Linked DNA regions of Rattus norvegicus. The protein of the gene in region 3 interacts with the protein of the main gene of each other region in a biochemical or structural test. Links are inferred from orthologs where the notes say so. Each region holds a gene or a part of one and is shown on either strand. Other genes may lie near its edges.

Region 1 (5,548 bases), on a different chromosome or scaffold from region 3:
ACCAAACTGATCTAAAAGCAAATAAGTTTCTAAGAAAGGCTTTACCTATGTTTTATAGCTTCTCCTATGCAACACTTTAATTTCTGAAGACCAACATTAACTATGCATTAAGGCTTTGTCAGGAATACCATATTTTTAGAATTACTCTATTTTAAAAGCGTTTGGATGTTAAATTATTATTCTGAGTAAGAAAGTACATGCCTCCTAAGGCCAGGCATGGTAGCACAAACTTGTAATCCCAGCACTCAAAGAGGCAGGAGGATCAAGAGTTCGAGGCCACTTTGGCCCACAGAGCAAGATTCTGACCCCAAAACAAAGAACAAGACAGGTGGCTGTCACTCTGTCACTCTAGATCCAAGACATCTAATGCTTTCTTCTGCCCTTCATGGTATAAATGTGGGCATCCACACATATACATAAGACATGCATAATAAATCTTTAAGTGCATAAAAATGCAAAAGAAAGTATTCATTAAAACAAAAATGACTACCGTATATCTGTTACAAATAAATTTAATGCAAATAAACTATAGTCTAATGTTAGTATACATATGCACTTTGAGGAATATTACTTTTGAAAAAAATTTAATTAACCTACCCTATTGGCTAGAATAAAATACAAATTCATTAAAGCTATGCATTTTAAATCTCTTGTGGAAAAACTATGAAAAAAATTACTTTTTGATTGAAGATTGACCAAAAGTCCCATTAGCCACTTTATAAATGCAACTTAAAACAAAGAGGCATTAGCAAGATTCACCAGAAATCTATCAGAATTCTACCAGAAAAAGAAAGTCAATGCATAGAACCTACTATTAGCAGATATAAAGGTGTGCAGAGAAGCGTTCATACACATACTTGACCCATAGCATTTAAGTGTCTGGAATATCTATACCTGTTCTTCATTAGACGAACCTCTCTCTTTCGTGCTGCTTCTTCAGCAGGCTGTGTAGGAAGTGCTGGGGAGGACGCCATAACAACTCCAGGGGCAATGGTGCTAGTGGGTGCTGTGCGAATCTGGTATGTTTGTACATCACCAGAGGCAGCTGCAAAGAAGAGCGAACAAGTCATAAGACACAGAAACACAACAATTTAATTCAACTATGTCTCCAATCAATCTAAACATACTTAGATTAAAAGGGAAACAGGGAACATGATCCTAGCTAAAAAGAAGATCCCAATCTACTGTACTATTAGCACACGTACAGGTAAGGATGCCTTAGTGTCTCTGCTGGGTCTTATAGTTATGCTGTACTGAATGGAGATCTATTATGTGGTTTACATGCTTGTCAACCTTTAGTCTAGAAGGAAAACGGGGCCCAGCACAGATGATTCTTCTAGATAAAGGTCTCAGTGTTTTCCCTTGATTGGGATAAAGCCACATTAAAAATCTCAAGTAGACTCTTGCCACGACATAAAAACGACATGATTTTTCATAAAATAGCAAAACAGAAGAGAAAATGAGCATATGGTAAACTATTATAAATGTCTAATTCAAACAAAACTCAAAGTATGAAAAACTGGACATTTGATGCCAATCATGGTATATGTAAACATATCTTAATATAAGTGATAATAAATACGTAAGAGCTGGATATTTTTCTTTTCTGTTTTCTAAGATAGGGTCTTACTATGTAGCCTTGGCTGTCCTGGAACTTGCTATGTAGACCAGGCTGGCTTAGAACTCAGAGATCCACCTGCCTCTGTCTGTCTCTGCCTCCCAAGTGCTGGGATTAAAATGTGTTGTCACCTCACTCAGCTTTGGATTTTCCTAACCATACAATTTCCATATGTGAAAAAAAAATCATTTGTCCATTATTTGCTTCTAGAAACAGTGTGATAATATGTTCTAATAAGTACCCTAGCACTATGTGAGAGATCTTGAAGGTCTTCATAAAATCATTCGTATTAGTTTAAAATACCAATTGTATTGTTTGAGGGACAAAGATTTATATACTAAACATGTTACCATATTCAAACTGACGTTGAGAATTCAAAGTCACTGACATCCTGCTTTACAATTTTTTGAGTACCTGCATGTAAAGTGAAAAGGTGTTTTACTCCCACTAATAAGCAAATATTTTTTTTCAAATATCATTGGTCTAGTAACAAGATACATAATATAAATATATTAGAATTTATTAAACAAAAGATGTTTACTTGGTGTTTTGGTATGATCCAAAAGTAATATCCATGGTGAAGGGATACGACTCTCATTAACACACGCAATTAGTTATTATTAACAAAAATATTTTTAGAAGCAAAAATTTTCTTACTCTATAAATTTTTAATCCGGTATAAACTATGAACTGTTCAATGAATTAATGGAGAAGAGTTAGTACTCTCCACACTCCTGAAATTTTGGTAAAAAACCCCCAAAATCCTCTAGTCTGTCGAGGACTTAAGGACAACTTACTCTCCAATGAGCAAACTTGCATAATGACATATGCTCTTTTGAAATGTTTTTATCTGAAATCAAAACTGATGACTTGAGAAAATCTCTATATTCCTTTTAAGTAAAAATTAAAAAACAAAACAGATAAACAAAACAGAGAGCAGAATCCACTAAAGCTCTTCCATAGTGACCTGTAGCAAACAATGAGGTGGGAAAGGAAGAGGCCCAAGGAAGCTGGGCGTTACCTGAAGCCATGTAGCTTAGCCACAGCTTCCTCAGTTCTCTTCTAACGCATCCTGGTTCTCCCTCCCCTGACTACTGAAGGCACTGAAGACAGGTATCACCCTTTTAAAGCTAAAAGATAGTTGTTTTTATGCCATGACATTTTCGTCCAAGTGGGATAATGGAAAGTTTCATGAGGAATATTTATTTATGTATTAATATATACATATCTAAATTGTTAATATCTAAATCTATACTGAAGAAAACTATTTTAGTAGTGCTTTGCAATATACTTACTTTTCATGAGTATACACAGTAATTTTTAAAAGAATGTACCGTATGTATGAATTCTTAATTCTATTACCTTGAACAACAACTTGGTTGCTGGGCACTAGAATCTGCTGTCCATCAGTGGTCTGTGCATATTGTAGAATGGTAGTACCCGGCTGAGTGGCAGCTGCATTGGTCATGGTTAATGTCTGCAGGCCCTGTACCCCATCGGTACCATTGTTAGCCAGCTGTATTGCTCCTCCCTGGGTAATGGCAACTAAAACCCAATGAATTTTATTGTTACAAGTTTAATTAATACCACATAAAAATTTTAAAACACACTAAACCCATGCAATTAGCAAAGCATATTCTAGGAGAAATTACTCTAGAAAATAACACCACCAAGGAAGACTTGGTTTATTCAAATAACTGTGTACTCAGGAAACCATATCCAATTTCTGTGAGAAATAAAGTCTATGAACTGTACTACAATAAATAATGCATGGTAACAAACAACATAAAAAGTGAAACTCGGGGCTGGGGATTTAGCTCAGTAGTAGAGCGCTTACCTAGGAAGCGCAAGGCCCTGGGTTCGGTACCCAGCTCCGAAAAAAAGAACCAAAAAAAAAAAAAAAGTGAAACTCAAACTCTTTTTGAACTTATTTCAACTCCAAGGAGGTCCTGCTTTACAACAATACTTTCTTTACAGTACCGTCAACTCCCTCATATAATGGTTTACTACCTGCTGCTTTAATTGTAAATACATTTTTACAGGTAGAAAATTAATTAATATAAGAAGCACCCAATAAATGTTTGTTAAAAGTATGATTAATAAGGCCCTCTCTCAGTGAATTATATTTTCTAACTTTTAGAGCAATTTATAAACTTGTCAGTAGTGCACTTAGAAAGCCATGACACTTCTCAAGGAGCTAAGGCAAAAAAAAAAAAAAAAAAAAAAAAAAAAAAAAAAGTCACTTGAGCTACAAGTTTAAGACTAGCCTGGGAAAAATAGTAAGACATCATCTCAAAATAAATAAATGAAATTAGTAATATTTAAGGAAAGAAAAAGAAAAACCATTAATACATTAATATCCAAGGCCCTGGCTGGGTTCAGTCTCTAGCACCTACCTACTACCCATCATCCCCACCAAAAATCTCATCAATGAAAGATGTGAAATACCCTGGATCTCAGTTATTATGATTGTCTCATGAAGTTTAAAACTAGAGACAGGGGGTTGGGGATTTAGCTCAGTGGTAGAGCGCTTGCCTAGGAAGTGCAAGGCCCTGGGTTCGGTCCCCAGCTCCGAAAAAAAGAACCAAAAAAAAAAAAACTAGAGACAGACTCTCATTTAGATGCACCTTATCTAGTTCTAAGCTCCTTGTCTGGGTCTTCACAGAGCCTTCTATTGACTGCTGATGAAGAAGCACAATAGCTACTATCTGGCAAATGAAAATCACTCAGCACTCATCCAAGTCAACCTTACACAACAGTGCAAAGAAAAAGTTACTTGAAAGGTAAGTTCTTATCTTGTTTGAAATACATGATCTTTGGATACTGGAACTGAAAAATATGATTGACTCCTCAGATAAATCCAAGGATCAAGTTTTCAAAAAAAAAAAAAAACCTAAAAATTATAATTTTACCTGAGCAATTTCATAAATTGTGTGTGTGTGTGTGTGTGTGTGTGTGTGTTGGTGTGCACGCGCATATGATGGGCAAGTGCTGAGAATCAAACCTTCACACATGGTAGGAATACACCCTGTCAACTGAGGTTTGTTCCCAGCTCTTCATAATGGATTATAATTGCATTAAAAGGAAAGTTAAAAAAAAAATGTGGTACCAATGTACCTAATTAAGTTATTGTATAACAGAAGTAAATTAATTTAGGATTATCGGTGACCTCTGGGTAATTATACTATCCTGAGTGGTATGCGCACAGAAAATGGATAATTCACTGTTCAATCAAGAGCTATGAGTTCATGACTATTAGTCACTTTATCAAGGTGATAAATTTGTGGAAATTAACATACTAGCATATATAATGCTATGTTAGCTAATTCCAGATTTTACTATCTTAGATGTTAAAAAATGTCTATGAATTATTCTACGATTAACTTTGTAAGATTACTTGGAAAGGTCTGGAGATAGGGCTGCTCTCTCAGAGAACTTAGGTTCTATTCCCAGCATCAACAGGGAGGCTCACAGCCATGAGCAACTAGTTCTAGGGGACAGGACACCCTCTTCTGGCCTTTGCTGGTACTGCACACATCTGGTGCACAAAAACATCCATACACATAAAATAAAAATACACGAAGAGGGTCGGGGAACAAGGACTTTTAAAGAATCATAAGGTTATCAAAATCAAATCTTCATTTCTCCTGGAGTTAATTTGCAAATTCAAGTGTATTTAATTAACATTCTACTTTTTCTTGATTACACAGCAACAACCTCAAAGTGAATGGAAGGAAAAGATATGGGCTACTCTGTTAAGATCATTTGATTTTGTTATTTTTCCTGGAAATCTAAAAACATCTGCTCTTATGTAACAGATATAGTTGTTTTAAACAGTAAGGTCTCACACACACACACACACGACAATTCTTTGAAAATAAAAGTCTCATCTAAGATTTAAACATTTTTAACTGTGTAATATTTATTTGT
Region 2 (5,548 bases), on a different chromosome or scaffold from region 3:
AGGGACCGGATGTTGGTGTCCTGGTGGTTCCCCAGGTAGAGATGGTTGAGATCCATGAGCTTCATGGGTGTCAATGGGCTCAGAGGTCTCTGTCTGTTCTCTCAGACAGAACGGCTGTGTAGCCAAGACTTCCCAAGGCACATCCAAGGTATCTGCACCTAAACAAGGATCAGAAAAAGGAGGTAAGTACATGGGTAAACAAAATCACTAAGGCTGAGAACTAGGGCAGACTCACAAACAGCTAAATGGGTTACAAAAGGAAATCTGGGAGTAGGGTAGTGGCTGTAATGTTGCTGCTATTCAGAAGATTATAACCTCATACACAGGCTCCCTCAGGAGGCTCATTTGAAAAACAAGGATTGGGGATGTGGTTTAGGAAAACACTCATCTTAGGAGAATACTCATTTGTCACAGGTAAAACCCTGGGTTCAAACTCTAAGGAGAATGTAGAGGGAAAACCAATTTGAGTCTTTGGGCCAACCTAAATCTCCTGAACTAGAATCAGGATAATCTAGGCAATCTCATTTTTATTTATTTTTTTAACATGTATTTTAAAATTTTCTATTCATACGTATATCATGTGTGTGGGTACACAGAGAGCGATGAATCTCCAGGAGTGGAGTCACCGGTGGTTGCCAGCTGCCTGACATGGGTGCTGAATTCTTGTCCTCTAGAACAACAATGGCCACTCTTAACCATTGAGCCATGCCCATGTTGTTGGATTTTGTTGTTGTTGTTTCTGAGACAAGTTCTCATTTAGTCAAGGCCTCAAACTTTCTATGCAGTCCAGGATGGCCCTGAGCTCCTGCCTCTGTCTCCCAAGTTCTGGGAGACAGTGTGTGTCCCCATGTCTGGTATAAGTTTCTTTTCCTGATGAAATGGAGAACATCAGTAAAATAGGGAAAGAATATGAAAGGCAGGGCTGGGAATACAGCTCAGTTGGGAGAGCTCATCCAGCATTCATGACGTCCTAGTCCATCCCTAGCTGATGACACACACCTATAATCCCGGCACTTGGAAGATCAGCATAGGTAAATCTAACAAGACAGCATATGAAGGATGTGGAGGGAAAAATAAGAAAGGATGCAAGGCTGGGGGTCCAGAGACTTCCGTGTACCTGGAGTCGGGAGGCTGAGATGGGAAGGTCCAGGCTCTTGGGGAAGGCATGGGAAGACTTGGGTAGGCTCATCTTCCAAACTCTGGACAGCTGTAGAAGAAAAGGTGGGCACAACGCAGCTGTCCCAGAATCCCATCCCCCTACTTGGCCACATCGCCTTTCAAGGACCACTGGTCTGATCGCCCAGCTCTCCCTGGCACTCCCATCCAAAGCACACAATGTCCTCACCTCCTGGGTGCTGGCTCTCCCCTTCCACAAAGCACTGGGTGGCTGAAAGGCACAGATCCTCAGGTTCTGGTGGGAAGAGATGAGAGACAAATAAAAATCAACTCATCCCGAAGACTCCTGCAGTTCTCTCCTAAGCCTTATTTAAGGGTCAAACGCAGAGCAGAGGGCAACACTTACCATCACAGCACTCTTTGGCATGCTTGGTCCCGCCCACATGTGCTTCTCTTTCCCTTCCTGTGGGGGTCTGGGCTCCCTCTCTCTGTGGCAGGGTAGGATCCCCTGAAGTATCTGTGCGTACCACCACCTGCTCCACGGGTGCTGCAGGTGACCTGCTCTGAGCCCCGACCTCAAGAGCACTTTTCTGTTCAGAAACAGCTGCAGCACACTCTGTCCCAGCATCTTCCGCTACTGGCTGCTGGCTCATTCTTATGTCTGCCACTGGTGAGGATGAGCCTTCCTGCACAGCTGTTTCCCGGGCTTCCTCAGGAGGCTGGGCTCCCTCTAGAGGCACCTGGTGTTTCTCCCCCAGGGTAACAGATGGCCCTGGGACTTCCTCCTCCACTTGTGCTCTGTTCTTGTCTACCAGAGCAGAGGAGGCCTTCTTTCCCTCTAGATGGCTGCCAGGGGAGCTCATATCCACATCCTCGTCTACATCATTGGGCCTACAGGGAGGCTGGCTCTCTGGCTGTGTGACAGTAAGAGTCTCATCTACATCCATGGGGCTGTCAGGGACAATCTCTCTCTTTCCCCCTGAGGATCCCTCCTCCACGTCAGTGTCACTGTCTCTCCCAGAGGCACTCTGGCTTCGTTCTACAAGGACCTGTGGTTGGGACTTGACCTCCTCTGTGCCTGGCTCTCCACTCCACAAAGCAATTCCTCTCTCCTTCAGACGGGCCAAGGTGAGTGCTGCCGAGACCTCTTCCTCCTCACCCCTCTCCTCCTCGTCTGTATCACTGTTGATCACCATGGCTGTGTGGCTTCTCTCTGGAGGGGCAGCCAGTGCAGTCTTGTCCTCCTCCACATCTGTGTCACTACCAGTTGGGCTGTCCTGCAGATGTGCCACACCACGTGCTCCTGGACCCCCTATACCAACCCCAAGCAGTACTTGGTTCTTCTTCACAGGGACCCTCTCTTCTTCTACGTCCGTATCACTATCCCCAGAACCAGAAGGCTGACGCTCTTCATCCGCTTCTGTGTCACTGTCTTCCCCAAGAGTGGGGCTCCCCTCCACAACTGACCCAACTGGAACCCCTGCACTGCCTGCCTCCTCCTTCATCTTTGTGTCCTTGAACTTGTCCTTGGTAGGCTGAGCCAGTGTGCCAGTTGTCACTCCATTCACTTCAGGCTGCTCAGGCTCCCCTGCGGCACCACTGTTGTCAGCTAAAGAAGATTCCTCTACTCCTGGTTGCTGACCTTGTGATTCATCTGTGTCACTTCCCAAACCAAAGGGTGAAGATGGCCCAGGGACACTTGGGCCTGGAGAAGAGCCCTCTTCATCACTGCAAAGAAAAAGGATCTATACAGTGTGTTTCCTGGCTAGAGACACCCGCTCAGCTGTGAGGACCGTAAAGCAGGCACTGCTGGTAGCTGTTTTCTCCTCCCCACTAAGTACATCAGCAGTACTCATCATGGTTTAATTCAGCTGAGGAAATAATTATGCGAAGGCCCTCAGCTCCACCTTTCAAGGTAATCATCTGCCAGGCAGTGGTGGCCCACGCCTTTAATCCCAGCACTTGGGAGGTAGAGGCAGGTGGATCTCTGAGTTGAAGCCCAGTTCTAGGATACCCAGGGCTACAAAGAGAAACCCTGTCTTAAAAAAATAAATAAAAATAAAAATAATAAAATAAATAAAGTATGTGCTTTGGCTAATAAAAAAAATAAAATAAAATAAAACCCCCCAAGACAAGACAAAACAGAAAACCAATCATCTCTTCAAGATTGACTCCTTGTTCAAAGGCTTAATTGTCTAAAAGCAGGTATGGCGGCTTAACCCTGCAATCTCAATACAGAGTCTGAACCTAGAGGATTACCACGAGTCTGAGACCAGCCTGGGCCACAGAGACTCTGTCTGAAAAATACAAAAACAAAAACAAATGATTCAGGTATCTGGACTTTGGTACCCACCTTTCTGGAACTACTGTTGCTGAAGGGGATGCTGTATTCCTTGATCCATTTGCCACAGACCTTCCAGAAGGAAAATCTGGCAAGAATAAGAAAGAATAAATTGAGTTTATATCAATATCCCTGTCTTTTCACACATATACCCAAGGCACAAACTTACCTCCTTCTTCCTCTGAATCCTCAGCCAACAAAACTCTGGAATTTTGGGATCTTCCCCGTATTCTGGGGGTCTTCTCTATAGTTAGAAGACTCCGAGGGACCAAGGGTGGTGGGACATTCAGGCGATGGTACTGGCAGGGAAAGTCTGCAAACAGAATTAATTCCTGGTCCCTCAGACGATGGCTCACTCCAGGAGCTAGGACCCTAGGAGGCTTTACGATTTGAGTGCCATTGAGGCTCCCACAATCCTGAAGGATAGGGGCTTTGTTCCAAGCTGAGATTTCAATCACTGCGTGCTGTTTGGAGATGGATGGAAAAGGCAGGGCCACAGAGCAGTCAGGGCTTCGACCAACTACATTCTTGCCAAGGTAGAGTGGGAAATCTGAGGATCAGAGAAAAGATATGAGTGTAAGGCCAGAGTCCTGCCCTGAAGATGTTCTGGTTAGATACGCTAACCATTAACAACCAACAACAAACCCTGAGGCAGGGCACGCCAGCACAGAAAAGCATTTATAATGTACCACTCATCAGCAATGTTCTATCTACTCACATTATTTTTGTTTTTTCCCAGCTGCTCAACTGTGAAAACAGAGCGCCCTCACGCATGCTAGCTAAGCAATCTCCCTCTGAGCCATGGCTATAGCTCTTGTTTTGTTTTTTGATTTAGGGTCTTCCATGTAGCCTAGGTTATTTTCAAATTCACTATGTGGCCTAGGTTACCCTCAAATTCTCGAGTCACCTCCTGAGTACAGGGATCAAGAGCAGTAAGCACTTTTAATCACTGAGCCATCTTTTTAGTCCCCACATTGTATTTTTATTTGAAGCTCTTCATTTTCTCTTGACAAAAGAAAATCACTCCTAGAAAATCCAGGTCACCAGCCTTGAACAGTCAACTCAGGTGGCCTCTTTGGCATCCTTTGTAGTACAGTTATTCATATCCCCTTTGAAACCTTCTAACTTCTTCTAATAAGACCCACATTCATACTTTAGCTCCCAATATCCCCTGACCTCGTTCTGGTCCATGGGTACCACTGAAGAATCGCAGCCGCCCTATAGGCTCCACACTATACCCCAAGGATCCACTGGATATTTCTGTCTCTTCCTCTTCTTCAGCATCCCAGTCAATCACCTGAGTGTTTTCCATATCTATAAAGGAAACACATTATCATTGCTCCTGTCAGAAAAAAAATAACTAGAGGTAAACCTGGGTAAATGTGGAAATGATCTCTCTCTCTCTCTCTCTCTCTCTCTCTCTCTCTCTCTCTCTCTGAGATTGGGCTTCTCTATGTAGCCCTGGTTGTCCTGGAACTCACTTTGTAGACCAGGCTGGCCTCAAACTCAGAGATCCCCTTGCCTCCGCCTCCCAAGTGCTGGGATTAAAGATGTACACAACCATGGGTGATGATTTTCCATCAGTCAGTCATGTAACAATATTGAGGGGTGGGAGAATATGTCAGTGAATAGAATGTTTGGCTAGCCTGTGTGAGACCACATGTTCAACACTTAGTACAACAGTGAGGAAAAAGTCTTTTTTAATAGACATATGTTGGCATCTATCTGTAGTCCCTGCATGTGAGATGATGAAGCAGGAAAATTAAGGACTGGGGACCTTACCAGACAGGATGATGTGCAGCTTTGATTATAGCAATGGAAAGGCAGAGGTAGGCAGGTCTCTATTTGGTCTACATAGCCAGTTCCAGGCCAGCCAGAATCACAGTGAGACCCCCTCCAAAACAGAACAAATAATATATATATATATATACATATCTATACTTTTGGCCAGGACACAAAGTATACTATTATACAGAAGGGGATATTTTATGTGACTTGATTGCTTGTTTTTAGATACTACAGACTGAATTCATAGAATGTATGTCCTGGATAGACACACCCCATTCAGCTATGAGGACCTTGAAAGCAGGC
Region 3 (5,548 bases):
TAATAGGTTCGGTCACTAGAGTTAAAATAACAATAAAATAAAACAGAAGGAATTCTTGGGAGAAGCCTGTGACTATTTTAAGGCTTAGGCAAAAAAACAAAAAAAAAACCAAAAAAACAAAAAAAAAACAAGAAACATGAAACTATAGTCATTAGCCATTTGGACTGAAAAAAAAATCTACAAATAATTTAATCTACTAATGTGTAATTTAGTCTGATTAAAAATCAAGAGTTTTAATAGTAAACTACCTTAATTTCCATAGTGGGAACAACAACGTCTTCTAAATTCTTCAGTTTAGTGATTGGCTGGTTGGCTGGAATGCTGATGCCTTCTGCATTAAGAATAAAGGGGTTTTAGTGGCAGCTGTAAATGGAGACTAGCGCTGCAGACCAAGCTGGAGCTGCGGCAACGACTCGTTCACACATACTTCTCTGGTTCCTCCACTGAGAGGCATCCAGGTTCGCCAGGATGATGTAGGCATCGCAGAGCGCCTCCATGTCCTTCACCATTGTACGCCTCGCACTTCTGATTGTATGGATTATTCTGCTTGCAGCCTCTGCTCGATCCTACCATCAACCACAAAGAACAAGAACCACCCAACTGGTAAGCTATACAACAAGAATGTATGCACCCATCTGGATGACGGAAGGACTATAGTTCTTCAGATACAAACAGAACACCCACCCAGTGGGTGAAATGCACACATAAGGACATTCAAGGTTAATGACCTGGGCACTTTTCAAATATCTGTTTTTCTGGGCCCAGAGAGATGGCTCAGTGGTTAAGAGCACTCGCTGCTTTTTCAGAGGACCCAGGTTTGGTTCTCAGAACCTGCATGGCAACCCCAGGTCCAGGGAATCCAAAAACTTCTCCTGGCTTCTGTAGGTGCCGGATATACATACGGTGCAGGCCAACCATTCGTGTACATTAAAAATAAACGAATATATTTTTTTTTAATTCTGGGGTTTGTTGTGCCCACTGCTTCATGAAAATAAAATCAAACTGGCATTTATGCTCTGGGACATGTTTAGGAATTGTTAACCAATTCTGGGTGGCAGCTCCATAATACAGGATACAGAGCAGTACCAGAAACGTGCATCCTTAACGTCTCTGAGAATTAAGACAGGAATGTTCTGGGAAAGAACGACCATCACCACACAAAAGCATTCTTGTATTTAACCCAAATACCTCATCAAGCTGAGAGCTTTCTTTGGGTGCATTCTTGGTTATTCTGCCCCTTCTTGCTGTCTCTGGTTTGCTCAAAAACTCATCTTTGTTTGCATTTGCTAAGGCCAGGATGATGAACAAGGTGTGATGGGGGTGATCCATTGAAATCCTAGAGATGAGCTATCAGAAGATTAATAACTGTTAGTTTCATGCGAATAGAAAAAAAATTTAAATATACATTTTTCGTATTACCTATCATCAAATTCAAGTTAATGTCATTATTGTACAGTAAGTAGCGTGTGTATCTGTCTGTGAGAGAGAGCTACAGCTGAATGTCAGACATGAGAGACAAACATCTGCAATGAAAGAGAAAATTTAATACTTTGATTTCTCATTTTTACTAATATAAAAGACAGGTAATTATTACATTTTTGACTTCAAGTCTACTTACATTATTGAGGACTTCATGAAATCCTAGGCCTCCTGTCATTTTGGTCCCCATTCTAGCAGCCAATTGGTACATGAGAGGCAAAAACTTATAGGAGGAAATCTTCATTCCATCTCTCTGCCATTAAAAAAATGCAAAATATAGAAACGTGTGTGTAATATAATCTTACATCTAAGCCAAAATAATGGTTTCTAAAATAATGGTCCTCCACTAAGTACACCCTAGTGGCTGTCAAAACTTTACCAATTAGACAATTTCCCCTACCTGAAAGTCTTTCTAGTGCAAAGCCTAGGTGATAATAAAATTCACCTAGTGATTCAGTGATAATAAAAATACTTAGCCCTCAATCAAACTGTACCCAGAGCTGGTATGCTAACCACCACATCCATTCCAGTGACTCCGAGGAGGACAGATTTGAATCCAAGTCTACTGTGGTCTCAACTCCCAAGAAGTCAGGGGCAACAGACTCAAGTTCCTTTCCCCATATGCCAGAGGCAATTAAGTTTAACACACACACACACACACACACACACACACACACACACACACACACACACACAGTGGAACAGATTAGTTTTGTTGATTTTGAGTCTTACCAGTCTTTCCATTCTGTAGAAACATTTTATGTATCTACAAACAGAAACTTCAAACTAAATGACAATATATATTTATTTTATGACCACATCTTAAGATTTCTTTTCACAGGCTGGAGAGATGGCTCAGTGGTTAAGAGCACTGACTGCTCTTCCAGAGGTCCTGAGTTCAATTCCCAGCAACCATATGGTGGCTCACAACCATCTGTAATGAGATCTGATGCCTTCTTCTGGTGTGTCTGAAGACAGCTAGAGTGTACTCATATACAATAAATAAATCTTAAAAAAAAAAAAAAGATTTTTTTTCACTAAAAACTTACAAGTACTCCTGTATATGCTGTGATTTTTTTTTTATTTGTAAAAGTGCTCTATTGGAAAAAAGAGCCCTCAAAAACACAAACAAAAGCAAGGAAAATTCTTGCTTAGTGTCACATTGTTTTTGTTTCCTCTTCTCCAGTGTAGTTCTATGGACTCCTCTATGTCATCTGCAAAGGTAAAACGCTAAGAGAAGTTCCATTGCCTCCGCACAAACCCATGTCACTTAGAGTTTACAAAGTGCTTATCTGTGGAGCACCAGACCCATTACAAGGGGTACACAGACACTGAGGAGGCCATGGCCTCCGTTTAAAGTGTATGGGTTAGGTAAGACTTGCCTTCATCATGCCATTGACTTCAGAGACTCCAGAATTTTCCAGCCAGAGGGAGCAGAGTCGGAACACCCACAGATCATGTTCTTCTCCGCTTAGTAAGCAGCTGATGTAGTTCTCAACTGCTTTACACAGGAAGCGTTTACGGTCCTCTTTCAGTGCACGGAGAGCACATTCATCTAGCTCCAGTTCTCTCTGAACCTTTATTGTGTATCTTGCATTTGATAAATTCAAACATAAAAGTCACAAAACTTTACGTAACTATAAAATCGTACATGATATACAACATAAACGAAAACCAAGGCGTTTACTCCAAAAAACCCTAAATATAATATAAAGGAACTAAATGGCTTGTCACACCAGCAATTACTAGGTCTTCCACACACCCACGGACAGAGTAGACTCCAAGTTAGTTCTCTGCTTACTCTAAACACACAAGAACCTAGTGCAGACTTAAAAGTAGCGTGACGACATCAAAGCAGGCAGGTCTTCTATACTTAGTGTGTATCTAGCAAAACAAACTAACATCCATGTACTCTGCCAAGAGCTAAACCAAGACATTAATTATTCGGAGGAAAACACGGCAGTGTATTAACCGACTGCAGTTGTGATTAACCAGGAGAGGATTGAGGAAGCCTGTAAAAATGCTAATTTAGGTGTTCAAAACTGTAATTCAGATGACAAGCTCAAGGCGGTCTTCCTGTAAAACGCCCTTTAGCGTATAAAGTTACCTGTTCGTCTGAATTTTATGCTCCCTTATAAGACCCACTTCTTCCTTGGCTCTTTTTAAGAGAGCTTGCTTGTTTTCGAATTCGGACGACTTCATGTAGTTCTCAATCCTCTGGTACTGCGTATCAGAGAACCGCGCTAATGAGAGGAAGGCCTTCATCTGTCCATTTCTGAGCTCTCGGCTGTCGCCATCATAACTGCCAGCAACCTTCACTGCCTTCAACAACACACAATCCATTAAGACCATGTTTATAAGCATAAATAGAGCTAGACTCGCAGCCCAAGGCAACCCACTCACTTCTAGATGAACGAGAAACTTGATGGTACGGAACCCTTATCAGGTAGCAGTTGCACTGAACTGTCCGAGAATGAAGCTCTTTAGGATGGGAGACAACACATCTTACTTTTCATACTAAACTTCCGGTCTCCCAAATTAGTGACACTAAAGGACAGAGCAGGCGAAACAGGAAGGCTAACGGGGACTCGAGAACTGAAGTCCTGACCCTTACTGTGAGTAGCTGGACTACACACAAATGGCAAAGGTGGCTTCTACGTTTGATAAGATATTCTGTAGAGTAAATGCAGAATAATCAGAAATGGCTTCCTGAATGGTGGGGCTACAGAGTGGACGGAAGACACTCAAAGTTGTTCCTTCCTTGGTGGCATTTGCTTCATTCTGCTCTGGGGATTACAGAGAGCCCCAGCAGGAACTGAAGGAATGAAACCACACTTTCGTTTTCTTTTGAGATGCATGCAGGCTTCATAAGAGGATTAAGCATATTTACAGTAGACAATAACGTTCAGAGCTGCACCAACAACCTACCTTTTCTAGATAGGTCTGCATGATGACTGCAGGATTTTCTAGGCAAGTCTCTGCCAGCCAGTTGCCACAAACCCTCAGACACTCTGCGTGTAGGCCTTTTAGACCTGCTTCATTCTGTATCAAGAAGCAAGAATCTTAAAATGTAGTTCCTTTTCAAGATTACAAAAGTGTCTTCTGTGTAGGTAGAAAAAGACGATGAAAAATATTTTTCCTCATGTTTTTACCATATAAGGAAATACTTCTAAGTATGTGAGCTTATGAAATAACCGCCCTGAACTGTCTAGCTATTACTAACAACTCGCATTTACTGAGTACTTTACAATGCCAGGAAATTTCCAACAGCTTTATGCATATTAACCCATAATTTTCACAGGAATACTATAGATTAGATATATCATTATTACCTACTTGCCAGTGCAAAGACTCAGGTACAAAACCACTGCACATGTTAGGGTCTACACTATTTAGGAAATACTTAAGTAAGTTATACTGTTACCTAGTACTTTGTTATAATTAATAATAACTCATGACCCTACAATGTCCTACACTGTCCACTGAGTGTGAATATGTTCAGAGCACAAAGAATGACAAATTGTTGTTACTTGTTTTCTACTTTTCTTCTCCCAGACATTTCTAATTCTATTTTTGTTCTTGCTACTTCGAAGTTACAACGTGTATTTCCATTCATTTCCTACATATTATTTTTGACTTCTATAGAATATAAACTGAATGAATATACTTCAAGACAGATTGATAGATTTAGGAAAAAGTTTTCAAGTCTCATTTCTGACATTAATTTTCAAGGTCTCTTTCATATTATTTTGTTTCTGGATCAGTGATTTCAAAGCCTTAATGTGACCAGTACAGACGTATTCTGCAGCAGACATCTTTTGGAGGACATAAAACACCGATGCAGCCAACCACACAGGACACACACCTCTCTAAAGCTGGAGTCCAACTTCTTGATCATTTGCTTGAGGATACTCAGGGCAAGACTCTGCTCCTTCTTTGCCCAAAATACTTGTGCTTCTTCCAAATGCCATTCAGAGATTCCGCAAATAGCTGGATTATATTGCTTAATTTTAAATATTGCTCTTTCAGGGAGCTACAGTGAGAATGCATATGGAAATAAACACGTTAC

The links. The genes of interacting proteins can lie anywhere in the genome.
Region 1: of the proteins of Atm (region 3) and Creb1, one has a biochemical effect on the other in vitro, tested with the Homo sapiens proteins (2 studies listed by BioGRID). The link is inferred for Rattus norvegicus from reciprocal best matches to the Homo sapiens genes ATM and CREB1.
Region 2: the proteins of Atm (region 3) and Mdc1 form a complex in vitro, tested with the Homo sapiens proteins (2 studies listed by BioGRID, with this or other methods). The link is inferred for Rattus norvegicus from reciprocal best matches to the Homo sapiens genes ATM and MDC1.

What each region holds. Positions count from the first base shown.
Region 1 is NC_086027.1:73,434,601-73,440,148, reverse strand, and holds part of Creb1 (cyclic AMP-responsive element-binding protein 1), read right to left. Parts: exon of another isoform or gene 4,304-5,548; coding exon of another isoform or gene 4,284-4,303; intron 3,164-4,283; coding exon 2,981-3,163; intron 2,033-2,980; coding exon of another isoform or gene 1,969-2,032; intron 1,046-1,968; coding exon 895-1,045; intron 1-894.
Region 2 is NC_086038.1:2,907,540-2,913,087, forward strand, and holds part of Mdc1 (mediator of DNA damage checkpoint protein 1), read right to left. Parts: intron 4,772-5,548; coding exon of another isoform or gene 4,770-4,771; coding exon 4,634-4,769; intron 4,008-4,633; coding exon 3,627-4,007; intron 3,546-3,626; coding exon 3,470-3,545; intron 2,845-3,469; coding exon 1,523-2,844; intron 1,412-1,522; coding exon 1,346-1,411; intron 1,208-1,345; coding exon 1,118-1,207; intron 159-1,117; coding exon 1-158. UniProt on the Homo sapiens protein: Histone reader protein required for checkpoint-mediated cell cycle arrest in response to DNA damage within both the S phase and G2/M phases of the cell cycle.
Region 3 is NC_086026.1:62,743,776-62,749,323, forward strand, and holds part of Atm (serine-protein kinase ATM), read right to left. Parts: intron 5,513-5,548; coding exon 5,339-5,512; intron 4,522-5,338; coding exon 4,408-4,521; intron 3,802-4,407; coding exon 3,587-3,801; intron 3,070-3,586; coding exon 2,862-3,069; intron 1,733-2,861; coding exon 1,619-1,732; intron 1,348-1,618; coding exon 1,189-1,347; intron 567-1,188; coding exon 428-566; intron 332-427; coding exon 249-331; intron 1-248.